3 linked regions of the Arabidopsis thaliana genome follow. The protein of the gene in region 1 purifies or fractionates together with the protein of each later gene. This does not show direct contact. Each region holds a gene or a part of one and is shown in the gene's direction. Other genes may lie near its edges.

Region 1 (4,562 bases):
TGCGATGCACTAACAATTCTATCAAATCATATTTAAGTGATCCAAGATTTGGACCGGAATATCCTTCATGGGTCAGACCTAGTTTGTTTAACCTTGGTAGCTATGGCGCTACTTATGTATGTTGCCATCCTTTGGTCTCTTCATGCGATTATATGTCACCGGGAAATGGAGTAGAACTGTTTGATGGTAGTGCGGATTGTTACATTTTCGGCTCATGCTCTGGTCTTCTCCTATTGTACATTGGTTGTCTCTTTGTTGCAAATCCCTTAACAAAAAGGTTTCGAATCCTGGATCATTCTGGATCAAAGCTTATACCAATGATAGTTAATGGTGGACTTAAAGGTCTTAGCGGAATTAGTTATCCTGGAGGTAATGTTGCTTGTACGGAACGAGCGATGTGCGTTGGATTTGCGGTAAATCGAAATCTAACAACCAAGAGATTCAAGATCGTGGGCATACTCGAGATGGAAAACGTATACGGATTCGAGATCAACGAAGGAGACTCTTGGAGATTATCGGAAACGAGTATCACCACTAGCTCAAAAAGTGATCTCACTACGCGGATGAAACCTGTTTACTTGGACAACACTCTTCACTGGCTGAGAAACGATGGCAGCATCATGTCTTTTAATCCCGAGACAGAGCAAGCATGCTTGATTCCTTCCATATTTCATCGGGAACCGGATACGAAGCTACTTTTCGCGGAAAGCGTTAAGATCAATCGCCTGACCCTAATTTCGGGGACGATAGAAACAATCTCCGTTTACACACTTGTCGAGAATCACAAATGGACACTCACAAGGCGGATCAAGAACATATCTATCGAGGAAGAAACGCTTGTATATTGGAACATAGCTATGTACGATGGCAAGTGTCTTGTGGTGAGGGTGAAAAAGATGGGTTTAGAACCTTTGGCAAGTGTTCTTCATGTGTACGACATGGAAGCTAACAGTTGGGGAGTTTTGGTGTCAACCCTTGCTTGGCCCAATTGCGTCCGAGATTTCTATAAATTGACGCCCTCCTTGTTCTTTGTAGAGGAGGATGAGCAACAGAAGGTGCTTGTTGCTTCTAATGACCGACGCATCTCCTATATAAATTCGATTATGGGACTCATTGATACCACCAAGTAAACATTTAGGGCCTATAGATTATACAAAAAATGTCCTGATTTATAAGAATGTTTGTTTCCCATTTGCTTTTATCATTGCACTATTATGGTTTATGTATTTCAAATCTAAAAATTAGTTGTATATTACTATTTCTTTTGGGACAAAAAATCATTTAAGACAATGTTGTTTAAGAACTTGTTCTTCTCTGGCTTGTCAATTTTTCGTCCTGCCCAATAAAGGCCCATCTTGTGTGTTTTGTCGAATCTAACAACAAACTCACACCTTTTGACCAAAAAACAAACTCTCCCCTTTTTTTTTTCCTTTCGTGTAGCTAAACCGTCTCCGGATGTTGACAAACATTGGTTATTCACTTTTTCCACGTCACACTTAAAAACAGAACATAAAAAAAAAACTAATGACGACGCTCCAGTTTTGAATTTTGAAAAAAGAAAAAAAGAACCGTTGAAAAAACATGAGTGCTCAAAGAGGGAATATACCTTTTTAATAATCTCCTTCCTATTTAAACCAATTCTCGAATCTAATTACATTTCCTCTCTCTTTCCCCAAATTGAAAACAAAATCTGAGATTCGCGAAGGAAGAAGAAGAGTTGTCTTGAGAGATTGATAGAGATGGACAACAATGGAGTTAAACCCGCTGTTTCCGCCATGGAAGCCTTTGAAAAGCTTGAGAAAGTAGGTGAAGGGACTTATGGGAAAGTTTACAGAGCAAGAGAGAAAGCTACTGGGATGATCGTTGCTTTGAAGAAGACGCGTCTCCATGAGGATGAAGAAGGTGTTCCTCCCACTACTCTTCGCGAGATCTCTATCTTGCGTATGCTCGCTCGTGATCCTCACATCGTTAGGTTCGATTTCCTTTTACATTTCTGATTCGGTTCAGTCACTTTCTGAAATTCTCCGATTTACTGGTTTTGATTGTGGATTTAGGACTCAATTTCGATTTCTAGGGTTTAGTCCCGATTAATTGATGTCTCAATTGATTTGATGACTCTGATTCTTCCTGCAAATCGCGCTTAGTGTCGCTCTTAGGTGTTACTGGTAGATCTTAGTTTCAGTTTGCTATTTGTTGTGTGGTCCGATCGAGATAAAATGGGTTCCTTATCTTATCCGAATACTAGAAAATGTCAAAGTAGAAGCTCTGTGTTGTGATCTCAGTTTCAACTATTTTTGTGGTGATTGCATTTCTACTGAGAGATTATTGTTATGATGATTATCTTCTTCTACAGGTTGATGGATGTTAAGCAAGGAATAAACAAAGAAGGAAAAACTGTACTTTACCTTGTTTTCGAGTATGTTGATACTGATCTCAAGAAATTCATCAGAAGCTTTCGTCAAGCTGGACAGAACATTCCACAAAATACTGTCAAGGTTTGGATATTTGGAGATTTTGTTCTGCTTTTTTTCTCTCATCCGATAAGCCCCTTTAAGCTAAGAGAAACATGTTCTTGAATTGCAGTGCTTGATGTACCAGTTATGCAAAGGCATGGCTTTTTGCCATGGTCATGGAGTGTTGCACAGGTAAAAATCGTCTTTGTTTTGGAAGAACTATGACTTGAGATAACCCATTTTGACACAGATCTCTAATCCTACTTGTCTTGGTTTCATTACAGGGATCTTAAGCCTCACAATCTCTTGATGGACCGGAAGACAATGACGCTCAAAATAGCAGATCTTGGATTAGCCAGAGCCTTCACTCTCCCAATGAAAAAGTATACACATGAGGTATATAAGTCTACGTTGATGAAACATTAGTCCTGTTTCATTCTAGTTTTTTTTTTTTTTTTTAATTCTATCTTAGTTTATCTGGAGTTATAACTCAGGATGATTTTACCCCCATGATTTCATTTGCAACAGATTCTAACTCTATGGTATAGAGCTCCGGAAGTTCTTCTTGGAGCAACCCATTACTCTACTGGAGTGGATATGTGGTCTGTTGGCTGTATTTTTGGTACAAAATCTTCTCTTACAGTTTCACTGGTTTCAGTTCAATGTCACTAGCAAGAACTAACAGTTTTGTTTCCTTTTTGATGTGTAGCTGAACTAGTGACCAAGCAAGCAATCTTTGCGGGAGACTCTGAGCTCCAACAGCTCCTCCGTATATTCAGGTAAGTCTTTGTGTTCATCTTTACCTTTAAGACACAAACATGACATTCGCTAACTTGGTTGTTCTGTTTCTTTCTTTCCTGTCAAACTCAGGTTGTTGGGAACACCAAACGAAGAAGTTTGGCCTGGAGTAAGCAAACTCAAGGACTGGCATGAATACCCGCAATGGAAACCGTTGAGTCTCTCCACAGCTGTGCCAAACCTCGACGAGGCTGGACTTGATCTCTTATCTGTAAGTCTCTAGTGTCTAACACACCTCTCAGACCTTGCTTGATTAGTAGATAATCACTCTGCTGAGACTAATTTGTGTTTCTCTTTGTGCACAGAAAATGCTGGAGTACGAGCCAGCAAAACGAATCTCAGCAAAGAAAGCTATGGAGCATCCTTACTTCGATGATTTGCCTGACAAGTCCTCTCTCTGAGGCTCTCTTTATAAACTCTCAATAGGATATTTTGTTCTATCTCTGTCTTTGCTTGTCTCAAGCATTTATCTGCTATCTTAGGATGATTGAAGTTTCAATATTCCCTTTTGATTGGGTCTCTATTCCCAATTGTATAACCTTCCAACATTTTTATCAATGAAAGAATATATCAGTTTCTCTAATATTTCAAAGTAGCAAGATTTGCAACTGTTTCCCATTTGTGTAAGTGTGTGTGTGTGGATGTTCAGGCTACGAGCCACATGAAGAATGTTGGCCAGACAGTGAGAGAAACTGAAGCCAAGGCATAACTCCAGAATAGAATCACAGAGCATTCACTTTCTCCTGATCCGAATAGTTGAGTGATTGTACCTGCCAAAAGGTCAAGTGAGTTTATGAGAAAGACAGTGTGATGACATGTTTTGGTAGTATTTTTGTGAGTCTGAAGAACGAACCAAGATTCATCGCTGGGGGAACGACATACTGAAGCAGAAGAACAAACTGGTAAAGCGGTTCGGATGTAACCAAACCCAAGTAATGCGCTCCTCGTACTATGAAAACTCCTAATATTGGCAGCAACAAGTAACGCACAACCACCACACCCATTATGACTGACTTGTTTATTCCTGAACCTCTCAGACCTGTGATTATTATAAGAGAGAGAACAGAGATTTAAGGTTTTGTCTTAGGAAAAAAAGTTTCTGCAGCCATTTGTTATTGTTTATCTACCATTGAGAAGGTTTCCTCCAACAATCAGAGTCAGAACAGGAATCGCCCCGTCCCTTCAAGAAAATTAAGCTACTCAAGTAAGCATTGTTAATTATCACTGACAAGTGAGATTTTTAATATGTTGTAGAATACCCCAATAGAGATACTGAGTCCTCAATCACTCGAAGTGGAGCTGTGTTACCGA
Region 2 (4,671 bases), on another chromosome or scaffold:
AATAAATTTAGGTGTGTTTGGTTACTGGTTAAATAGAATAATGAATTTCTATTATGTTTGGCAATTGAAATAATGTAATTCAGAAGAAAAAAAGGAAAATTTGACAACATTGTGAGTTTGTTTGTTCAGAAAAAACCTTTTTCTACTATAGATGATTACTTTCTGAGCTAAAAGAAATGCTTATTTTTAGTTTGACATCTAACTTCTCACTTGTCAAATTACTCTTTTCATTACTCATAAAAATGCATTAAACTTTTTTTATTGGTTACCGTGAATTAAAAATATATAATCACAAGGATATGTAGTTGAAAAGACTTCGTTGGCCCTTTTCGAATGATTTTAAAACCATCTCATACGTGTGCTAAAAGTTTTGTCTACCAACTGTTTGTCGAAATGCTTCCGAAACGTTTTTTGTTTGTTGATAAACTAATAATAATTCTGATTTTCTGGTATTTTTTATTTGTTGTGCCGACTATTTTGCAGACACGAGAGATTAAAGGTATCCCAAAAATTTCTGGGAATATAGTTCTTATTCACCAATCATTTGTAGCAAACAAGATAGAAAAAACATGCCTAATTCTCCAAAGTTTGTTTTCATAAGTAATTTTGAATAATTTTCATTTCTCTTTATTTACTTCCATTATTTTGATATATAGTTCATATCCATATCTCTTATGATTAATTTTTTAATCATAACATGAGAAACGATAGGAATGAAACCTATTTGTAGGCGTTTACGATATTTCTTATGATACATTTTTTTTGTAAATTAGAATTTAGAAGTAGTCACTTTCGTTTTCATTACTGGTTCAATTAGAATGAGATATGATAAAACTAATAATTTTTTTCAATTGTCTGCTCTACAATCTACACAGGATTCCAAGGAAAAAAATACTTTAGGACTTCACATCACCACATCAGATATTGTCAAAGACAATTTTGTTTTGTGAAATCGAATACTCTGAATCCGGCTTTGATATCGAGGAAAAAACGCTTGACAAAGCATTGAAAGAAAAAAAAAATATTAGTTAAAGGAACCTTATACATTTTATGAAGTTTTTTTTTTTGTAAGCACCCGAAATAAAATTGATGAAGTTTGAGTATATCACTATGCCTTATGGTTTTTGCCGACCAAAATATGTCGAAATTATGAATACATATATTTTATTTATTTATTTATATTCTATTAAAATTATTTTGGGTGTAATAATAAAATTAAACTTCTATCAATTTTAAAGGGAGGATTATTAATTTAAATAACATTAAATCATATATGATATATAATCAAATAATATTTTAGTAATCTTAAAATTAAATTAAAATTTAAAAACTGATATTTAGATAATCATAAAGTATTAACCCACAACAATAAGTGATTACAATTTAAAGAACTACTATTAGTTTCTTAAAATATTTTAAAAGCACATGTGTTCTAAAAAGGTTACAGGTAGATAAGCAGTCTGCTCCTAAAGAACTATAAACAATAATCACTTTTAATTTGTTTAAAACCAGCTTGTTTCACGCCCTAAATTAACTAAAATATATCTACCATTATTCCAGACAAAACGACGTCGGTTGGTGTGTTTCACGCCGGCTTGGTGCTCTAGGCATCTATCTGATTCTCACTATCACTACTGACACAAATCCTTTTCCTTTTGTTCCTCTTTCTCTAAACCAATCTTTAAAACAACTTATTCGTCTTCAAGATTTCTCCAACAAGTCCTACCATGTCCGGCGAAGGAGACACGACCCTCAAAGCTATCTGTTACAAGCCTGGCTCTCTCCAGTTACTCGATCAGGTTCTCTCTTTCACTTCTATAAAGTTTTCAAATTTATACTTTTTTTCCTCAAATCTGTTTACTCGTCTGAATTGGAACAGAGGAAGCTTCCTTTAGAGACTATTTACTTAGAGATTCGTGATGCTTCAGATGGATGGTAAAGTCTTTACCTTTATGATTAGAGATTGTTTTGGGAAAATTGTGGTTTAAAAAGTTTGATACTTTTGGTAGGAGTGCTATTCAGGAAATGGTTGTACGTGGTGCTCCTGCTATAGCTATTGCTGCTGCTCTTTCTTTGGCTGTTGAAGTTTTCAACTTTCATGGTTTTGATGGATCAGCTTCAGATGCTGTTGCTTTTCTTGAGAACAAGTTGGATTATTTAGTGTCAAGGTTAGATTTTGGATTTGTTAGTTAAGTTTTGCATCTTTGGTGCTTACTCTAATGTCTTTTGCTTTTTATGTTTGTTTCTTCAGCCGTCCAACAGCAGTTAATCTTGCAGATGCTGCTTTGAAACTTAAACATGTTATAGCAAAGGCCTTGGCTACTGCCACCGAAGCCAAATCCATTTTCAAGGTATCAAGAAGTTTCGTAATTCATCTGTGTGTGTGCCTTTTGCTTTTGTAAGTTTAGCTCATTCTCTGTGCTTGTTGTTCTTCAGGCATATATTGAAGCTAGTGAGGATATGCTTGAAGATGATGTTGTTTCAAACAAAGCTATAGGAAACTTTGGTTTAAGCTTGTTGAGGCAACAAGCCAAGAATCCTGATAAGCTTTCTGTTTTGACCCATTGCAACACTGGCAGGTATTGATTTAGCTAGATTTTCTGAATTGCATAGATACCGTCTGCATAAGTTACTCAAGTTGAGTAATAGCATGTTACCACATATGTGTATGCAGCTTCAACCAATAGAGTTGTGTAATGGTTTTTGGTGTTATGTTTATGTGGTAGATTCCTAGTAAGGCATTAACTACGAGTTCTATTGACTTTGTAGCCTTGCTACCGCCGGATATGGTACTGCCCTCGGTGTCATCCGTGCACTCCATACTCAAGGAATCTTAGAAAGAGCATACTGCACAGAAACTCGTCCATTTAATCAAGTAAAACTCCTAAATTAATACTTTTTCTTTCTCAATATCGTAAGAAGAAGAATCCGTAGAATACCTTAAGTTGTTAGGGACGATAATTACCTCTATATTGACATATGTGTTCTTATCAAAACGGTGGTAAAAGCTTCAAAACCATGAAGGAACGTAGGACAGATACTTCTTGTGGCAGCTCCCTGAATCCATTGCTTTATAGAGTTTTCATATCTTGTTGAACTGTTGTTGAAAGTCTTTTGAATTTATGACTAAATGGCAATTGACAGGGATCGAGGCTTACAGCGTTTGAGTTGGTGCATGAGAAAATCCCTGCAACTCTCATTGCAGACTCAGCTGCAGCTGCACTGATGAAAGATGGTCGTGTTGATGGTGTCATCGTTGGAGCTGATCGTGTGGCTTCAAATGGTACACTCAAACACCTTAGATAAATCCGTTTTCTCTCACAAATCTGATTCCTTATGACTGAATCACTTCTTAACCAATTCATTGATATACTCCAGGCGATACTGCTAACAAGATTGGGACTTACAGTCTCGCCTTGTGCGCAAAACATCACGGGATCCCATTTTATGTTGCTGCACCTCTTACCTCAGTTGATCTGTCACTTTCATCCGGGAAAGAAATCGTGATAGAGGAAAGATCTCCAAAGGAGTTGATGCACACACACGGAGGACTTGGTGAACGCATTGCAGCACCAGGGATCTCAGTTTGGAACCCAGCTTTTGATATGACTCCAGCAGAGCTGATTGCAGGAATCATAACCGAGAAAGTTCGTTTTTCCAGCCTTGCTTGTTCTGGAAGATATTTATGCTCATTTATTTGAATCTCTCAACGTGTTTGTATATGCAGGGGGTCATAACAAAGAATGGCAATGATACATTTGACATAAGCAGCTTTGCCAAGAAGATAACAGGAAACTCATCTCGTTGAAGTTAGAGTCAGCATTGCGACTTGCGGATGTTCCCCTCTCTCTATATACTTGCAACAAAGCAAATTACTTTGTAATGTTTGAGCTACTAAGTACACTGTGGTAAAAATTGTCAAAAATAAGAAATAATCGATACGTTTTAGCCAATTGTAGGTAGCCAAAATGCTGGTCTTGGGTTTAATGCTAATGAAGATTGGGAAACAACTTGTTTTAGTGTAAAACAACTTGTCCATGGGCTTGCCCGGTCCATCTTGACTTGGTTCTTATTTCTCTATTTTTTTAAGTTTAAGAAAAGAATACCGTTTCTCCTACCCGTCAATATTGAAATAATTTCAGAGGTTTTCCTTGTTCTGTGTCAACAAACAATTCGAAATGCCTCGACTTTATCAATTTTTTGATAATTCTGAACTTTAGACCAAATGCATATGGACGAGCTATATTCTGGACCAAAAAACAAATGGTCTAATTGGGCATATGACCAGTTTTGTCCACGGATAATATGGGCTTGACCATATGGACAACGGGCTGCCCATGGGCATGAATTGAGTCAATAGACATGTCTTCATTTAATTGTATTTTTATAATTTTAATTACAATTACAACTAAATAATTTTTAAATAATATATTTTACATTTATAAGTTTTTACTTTTCTGAAAATTTTAAATTTTAATGAATTATTTCTTATTAAATTATTTACGATTTTAAAGGAAAGATAGTATTCCACAATTTTCTGGAATACGCAATTTTTAAATTTTACGGTTTTGACGGGAAAAATACAATTCTCCGATTTTACGATTTTGACGGAAAAACGTAATTCTGCAAATTTTCCACCAAAATCGTGATTTTATTATATTGGCGAGAACA
Region 3 (5,085 bases), on another chromosome or scaffold:
TCCTCACAATTCTCTCTGATTTCGCTTACTCTTTCACTGAAACCCTAATTTGGGGTTTTTCAGATTTCCTTCAATCTCTCGTCGTCATTTCTTCGTCTCACCGTTGAATCTGAAAATGATCGCCGGAGTATTGCGCCGATCTTCACTCCCGTCGAGGCAGACTCTCTCCGCCGCGTTAGCCTCCTTCAATTCGTGTATTTCGCACAATCTCACTCCAGCCACCACCGGAGCTTCCGTCAGCTCTCGATTCACTCTCGCGTCGTCTCCTAACTCGTTTGGCATCAGAGCGAGGAACATCCACATTAGATCTGAGCCGTCGATGATTGTTCCCGCAGGAATCGCGTCACAAGGTTACGCCACTGTCACAAAGGATCGCAAAAACGAGATTAAGAAAGCTAAGATTAAAATTTCTCCAGACAATGTCAGACCATTGAGTAGGAAGGAGATCGCTCTCCAGGTATATGCATTTTTGTTCAAATTCATAGAATATTATTCAAAGTGCTTCATCAGATTCAAATTCGAATAGGAATCGGAATGTGAAATTCATTGAAATGATTTAGAACTGTTGTTTATGTTGTTGTTGTTGTGTGTTTGGGGTTGAATTGTAGAAAGAGGCAGCAGAAGAAAGCACATCAAAGATAAAAGGAACAAAGATTTGTATAGCGATTCGGTCTTTTGTTAACCCGGAAAAGCAAGCTTGGTGTCTTCCTCCTCACACTCGTAAAGTCGCAATGCCCGATACACGAACTCTGTACACGGTGCTAAGATCGCCTCACGTCGATAAGAAGTCTAGAGAACAGTTTGAGATGAGGTTCAAGAAACGGTTTCTTGTCATCAAAGCTCAGAGTCATGAGTTGAGCAAGAAGCTGTTTTGGTTAAAACGTTATCGTATTCTTGGAGCTCAATATGAACTCCAGTTCCATTGCAAGACCCGTTTGGATATGACTCAAGTGTTAGGCAACATCAATGGCTCCACCACCAATGCTTACTGAGATGGCTAAAGACATCATTTTGTAGAAGTTTCAAGACCCAACCGGGTACTATGCAATAATTTCGAACCTTACGGATCCATGAAACCAGCTTTGCTTCACATCAGATCAAGTAGTTATTTTCTTGCTTAGTATAAACATGTGTTTTTGGACGATTTTGAAAGATACAATTGAGTTTCAGTTACAGTGCTTTCCATTTATTCATTAGCCAATCAAAGTCTTTATACATCACCAAGGATTGAGACACATTTAGACTGCTAAAGGTGTCATTTTGAGAAGTTATAGAAACCTTTGACCCGACCATGGAATGATGTCGAACTTTAAGGATCCAAGAGCTCACATTTTAGGTGTATTCATTCATTAGGCAATTCTAAGACTTTTACATTGTACATAATCACTAATGATTTGAGACATATGGTATAGGTTAATTTGATAGATCTGATTCCGAACCTGAGCTATTGCCAATTTGCCACACTACACAAAGTTACAAAAAACAGAACTCATTAACTCTTTGCTTCACATTCAAGAACACCTTTGGGCTCAAGCAAAAAATAATAATCAACTCTGTTTCCTTACACAAGCTTGCACGTGTAGGAACATACCATACACTCACCCGCAGGTGATTATAACAAAGTTCCCTTTATACCCGCCTTTGATTCTTCTTCTTAAATCTCTAAACCCTTTTGCCGTCTCCCTAAAACCCTAATTCTCATTTCTGGGGTTTCACATTTCATCTTCACCAGAATCCATCACACTCTCTGAAATCTGAAAATGATTAGCACAGTACTTCGCCGATCTATCCTTGGTACGTCAAGGCGTACTCTCGCCGCTTCGGTGACCTCCATTAACGCAGCTCTATTTCATAACCTTGCTCCAGCCGCCGCCACAGTCTCCGATCTAGCAAATGGAGCTACTAATGTCAAGTCTCTCCCTTCGAATTCGAGCCCTTTTGGTGTTAAAGTGAGAGACTTTCATGTTAAATCTGTACCGTCGGAGTTTAGATCGTCGATTGTTTCTTCTGCGGGATTCGCGGCTCAAGAGTATGCTCCTTCTTATGAGAACGATGGAGGGATTGGAGATTCGGAGAGTGTTGGTAGCAGCGGTGGTGGTGATGGGCTTGCGATAGCTGATCTTGGTATATCTCCGGAGATTGTTAAAGCTTTGAAGGGTAGGGGTATTGAGAAACTCTTTCCTATTCAGGTATATATGATCTTCTTCTCTGTTCCATTTGGTTATAGAGATCAATTAAAAGTTTAGATTTTTTTAACTGAGTTTTTGATGTTTGTGTTTGGTTGAATAGAAAGCTGTGTTGGAGCCAGCGATGGAGGGTCGTGATATGATTGGCCGTGCAAGGACTGGAACGGGAAAGACACTTGCTTTTGGGATTCCTATTATTGACAAAATCATCAAATTCAACGCTAAACATGGGTTTGTGTTTACTGTTATATATAACGATCATTTGTGATTGAGAGATTTGCACTTCCTTTGGTTCTTATGTTGTCTTTTGATGTGACAGTCGTGGGAAGAATCCTCAGTGCTTGGTTTTGGCACCGACGAGGGAGCTTGCTCGTCAGGTTGAGAAAGAGTTCAGGGAATCTGCTCCAAGTTTGGATACTATTTGTCTCTATGGAGGTACACCAATCGGGCAACAAATGAGGGAGCTGAACTATGGTATTGATGTGGCGGTTGGAACTCCTGGTCGTATCATTGATCTGATGAAAAGGGGAGCTTTGAATCTATCAGAGGTTCAGTTTGTGGTTCTTGATGAAGCTGATCAGATGCTTCAAGTTGGATTTGCGGAAGATGTTGAAATAATATTGCAGAAGTTGCCAGCGAAGCGTCAGAGTATGATGTTTTCTGCAACAATGCCAAGTTGGATCAGATCTCTCACCAAGAAGTACCTGAACAATCCTTTGACAATTGATCTTGTGAGTAGTCTTATACCTGCTTGTGTTTATATCTTAGAATTGCTGTACAAATTGCAAATATTGATCTTGGCTGTAGCAGTGTAGTTAATGAAGTGACATTTTTTAATGACACATGTACTCTTATGTAATTTAGGTTGGAGATTCAGATCAGAAACTTGCAGATGGGATTACTATGTATTCTATCGCTGCAGATTCTTATGGAAGAGCATCCATCATTGGTCCTCTTGTAAAGGTATGTTTTCTTTACTTTGCTTTTAAGCCAATTATCTGTATCTTGTTTTGATTCTTCATTTTTGTTTCCAGTCGTGATTTTATAACATCTTCTCCTTTACAGGAACATGGCAAAGGAGGAAAATGCATTGTCTTTACCCAAACAAAACGTGATGCAGATCGCCTTGCATTTGGATTGGCAAAAAGCTATAAATGTGAAGCTTTACACGGTGACATATCTCAAGCTCAGAGAGAAAGAACACTTGCTGGTTTCAGGGATGGGAATTTCAGTATTCTTGTTGCAACTGATGTTGCTGCCCGTGGACTTGATGTACCTAATGTCGATTTAGTGAGTGAAAACAATACCTTTTCTTGCGCTTAACTAGTTCTGTTTCTCATTTTATTAACCTGTATTGTGCTTTGTGTACAGGTAATTCATTATGAGCTTCCTAATAACACGGAGACGTTTGTTCACCGAACGGGGCGAACTGGTCGTGCTGGAAAGAAAGGAAGCGCGATTCTCATCCACGGTCAAGATCAAACCAGGGCTGTTAAAATGATTGAGAAAGAAGTCGGAAGCAGATTCAATGAGGTTAATATCTTTCTTTACCACCTTTGTATCTTTTGTATGAATAGCTTGGGTAACAAACAGTTCTGAATCTATTTGGTTTTGAATTCAGCTGCCTAGCATTGCTGTGGAAAGAGGAAGCGCAAGCATGTTTGAAGGAGTAGGTGCTAGATCTGGTGGGTCGTTCGGAGGAGGTCGATCAGGCGGTGGTGGGTATGGTAGTTACGGTAGCAGCAGTGGCCGTTCAGGTGGTGGTAGTTATGGAGGTTATGGTGGCAGCAGTGGCCGTTCAGGTGGTGGTGGTGGTAGTTATGGAGGTTCAGGGGGATCAAGCAGCCGTTACTCTGGTGGTTCAGACCGCTCATCTGGTTTCGGAAGCTTTGGTTCAGGCGGTTCTTCAGGAGGATTTGGTTCAGACCGTTCTTCTCAGTCAAGTGGAAGGAGCAGCTTTGGTGGGTTTGGATCAAACGATGGTAAAAGATCTTACTGAGAGAAGTGTTGTGTTGGTTTTGACCCGACTCAGCAATAATGGAGTTGACTTAGGAGAGAACTCGGTATCTCGAGTTGAGTAGTTTACAAGGAGTCGAGCTATATATAAATTCTGTAGCTACTTCTTGTCTCATAAACCAACATAAGTTATATCATTATTTCATATCCTCTAATTCATTTTTATTTCTCAATTTGAGTGAAATGTGTTTCCCTTACTTCGCCACTTCCATTTATGAATCTTGTTAGATTGTGAGAAAAGGAAATAATGTGGTTGATCAAAGATTCAAATCATCCCTAGTTTTGATTTCTTGTTAGATCTTGCAAGTTTTTGGTAGAACCATACACAAGAAAAATTGTTTTAAGCTTTAATTCTCATATCTGACCAACAAAAATAAAACACAGTCGACAATTATTGTTCACTACAAAAAGCATTACTCTTATGTTTCACAACTAATTAGCCTTCATTTCGCAAAACTTGATGCACTGCATAGCAAGAGCATGCAACTAGCTGCTGAACGAAAAGGCTTGGCTCTGCATAGCTAGCATAATAATACCAAGCTCCTTGGGTGTGATCCCCTTTGCAGTGAATCCAGATTTAGTTTCATCCAGTCTTATAGGCCCAAGAACGGGTTCTTGTACACATACTTGGTGATTCTGAGGGTTACAAAGCTGAGATCCCATAAACGTTGAAAGGCGTTCAGGTGGTGGTATAAGAATCATTGAGATGAGTAAAACAGTCAACACCACCCACAAGGGCATGCAAATCAATGGTAGCCATCTCAACACCATCCCCCAGCTTCTCCATTTGGAGACATTTTGAAAAAAACTCAAGAACGGCGCCTGTACAACCGTCAACACTCATCCACAGCTGATCTGAAGTCAGTAATACTCTGGAAGAAGT

Evidence for each region.
Region 2: the proteins of CDKB2;2 (region 1) and AT2G05830 purify together in Arabidopsis thaliana (affinity purification with mass spectrometry, with the first as the bait; one large-scale study listed by BioGRID). This does not show direct contact.
Region 3: the proteins of CDKB2;2 (region 1) and PMH1 purify together in Arabidopsis thaliana (affinity purification with mass spectrometry, with the first as the bait; one large-scale study listed by BioGRID). This does not show direct contact.

What each region holds. Positions count from the first base shown.
Region 1 is NC_003070.9:7,291,842-7,296,403, reverse strand, and holds CDKB2;2 (cyclin-dependent kinase B2;2), read left to right. Parts: upstream 1-1,657; 5' UTR 1,658-1,739; coding exon 1,740-1,972; intron 1,973-2,353; coding exon 2,354-2,495; intron 2,496-2,583; coding exon 2,584-2,645; intron 2,646-2,737; coding exon 2,738-2,849; intron 2,850-2,981; coding exon 2,982-3,075; intron 3,076-3,162; coding exon 3,163-3,232; intron 3,233-3,323; coding exon 3,324-3,462; intron 3,463-3,556; coding exon 3,557-3,652; 3' UTR 3,653-3,896; downstream 3,897-4,562. Other genes in the region: AT1G20940 (F-box family protein), read left to right, coding at 1-1,130; AT1G20925 (Auxin efflux carrier family protein), read right to left, coding at 3,897-4,021, 4,105-4,290, 4,379-4,431, 4,511-4,562.
Region 2 is NC_003071.7:2,228,032-2,232,702, forward strand, and holds AT2G05830 (NagB/RpiA/CoA transferase-like superfamily protein), read left to right. Parts: upstream 1-1,507; 5' UTR 1,508-1,727; coding exon 1,728-1,799; exon of another isoform or gene 1,800-1,879; coding exon 1,880-1,935; intron 1,936-2,009; coding exon 2,010-2,168; intron 2,169-2,251; coding exon 2,252-2,351; intron 2,352-2,436; coding exon 2,437-2,579; intron 2,580-2,769; coding exon 2,770-2,875; intron 2,876-3,144; coding exon 3,145-3,283; intron 3,284-3,378; coding exon 3,379-3,647; intron 3,648-3,727; coding exon 3,728-3,808; 3' UTR 3,809-4,118; downstream 4,119-4,671. UniProt on the Arabidopsis thaliana protein: Catalyzes the interconversion of methylthioribose-1-phosphate (MTR-1-P) into methylthioribulose-1-phosphate (MTRu-1-P).
Region 3 is NC_003074.8:7,885,622-7,890,706, forward strand, and holds PMH1 (putative mitochondrial RNA helicase 1), read left to right. Parts: upstream 1-1,654; 5' UTR 1,655-1,760; coding exon 1,761-2,189; intron 2,190-2,289; coding exon 2,290-2,417; intron 2,418-2,505; coding exon 2,506-2,917; intron 2,918-3,050; coding exon 3,051-3,149; intron 3,150-3,251; coding exon 3,252-3,476; intron 3,477-3,557; coding exon 3,558-3,719; intron 3,720-3,807; coding exon 3,808-4,185; 3' UTR 4,186-4,532; downstream 4,533-5,085. Other genes in the region: RPS10 (ribosomal protein S10), read left to right, coding at 116-457, 609-992.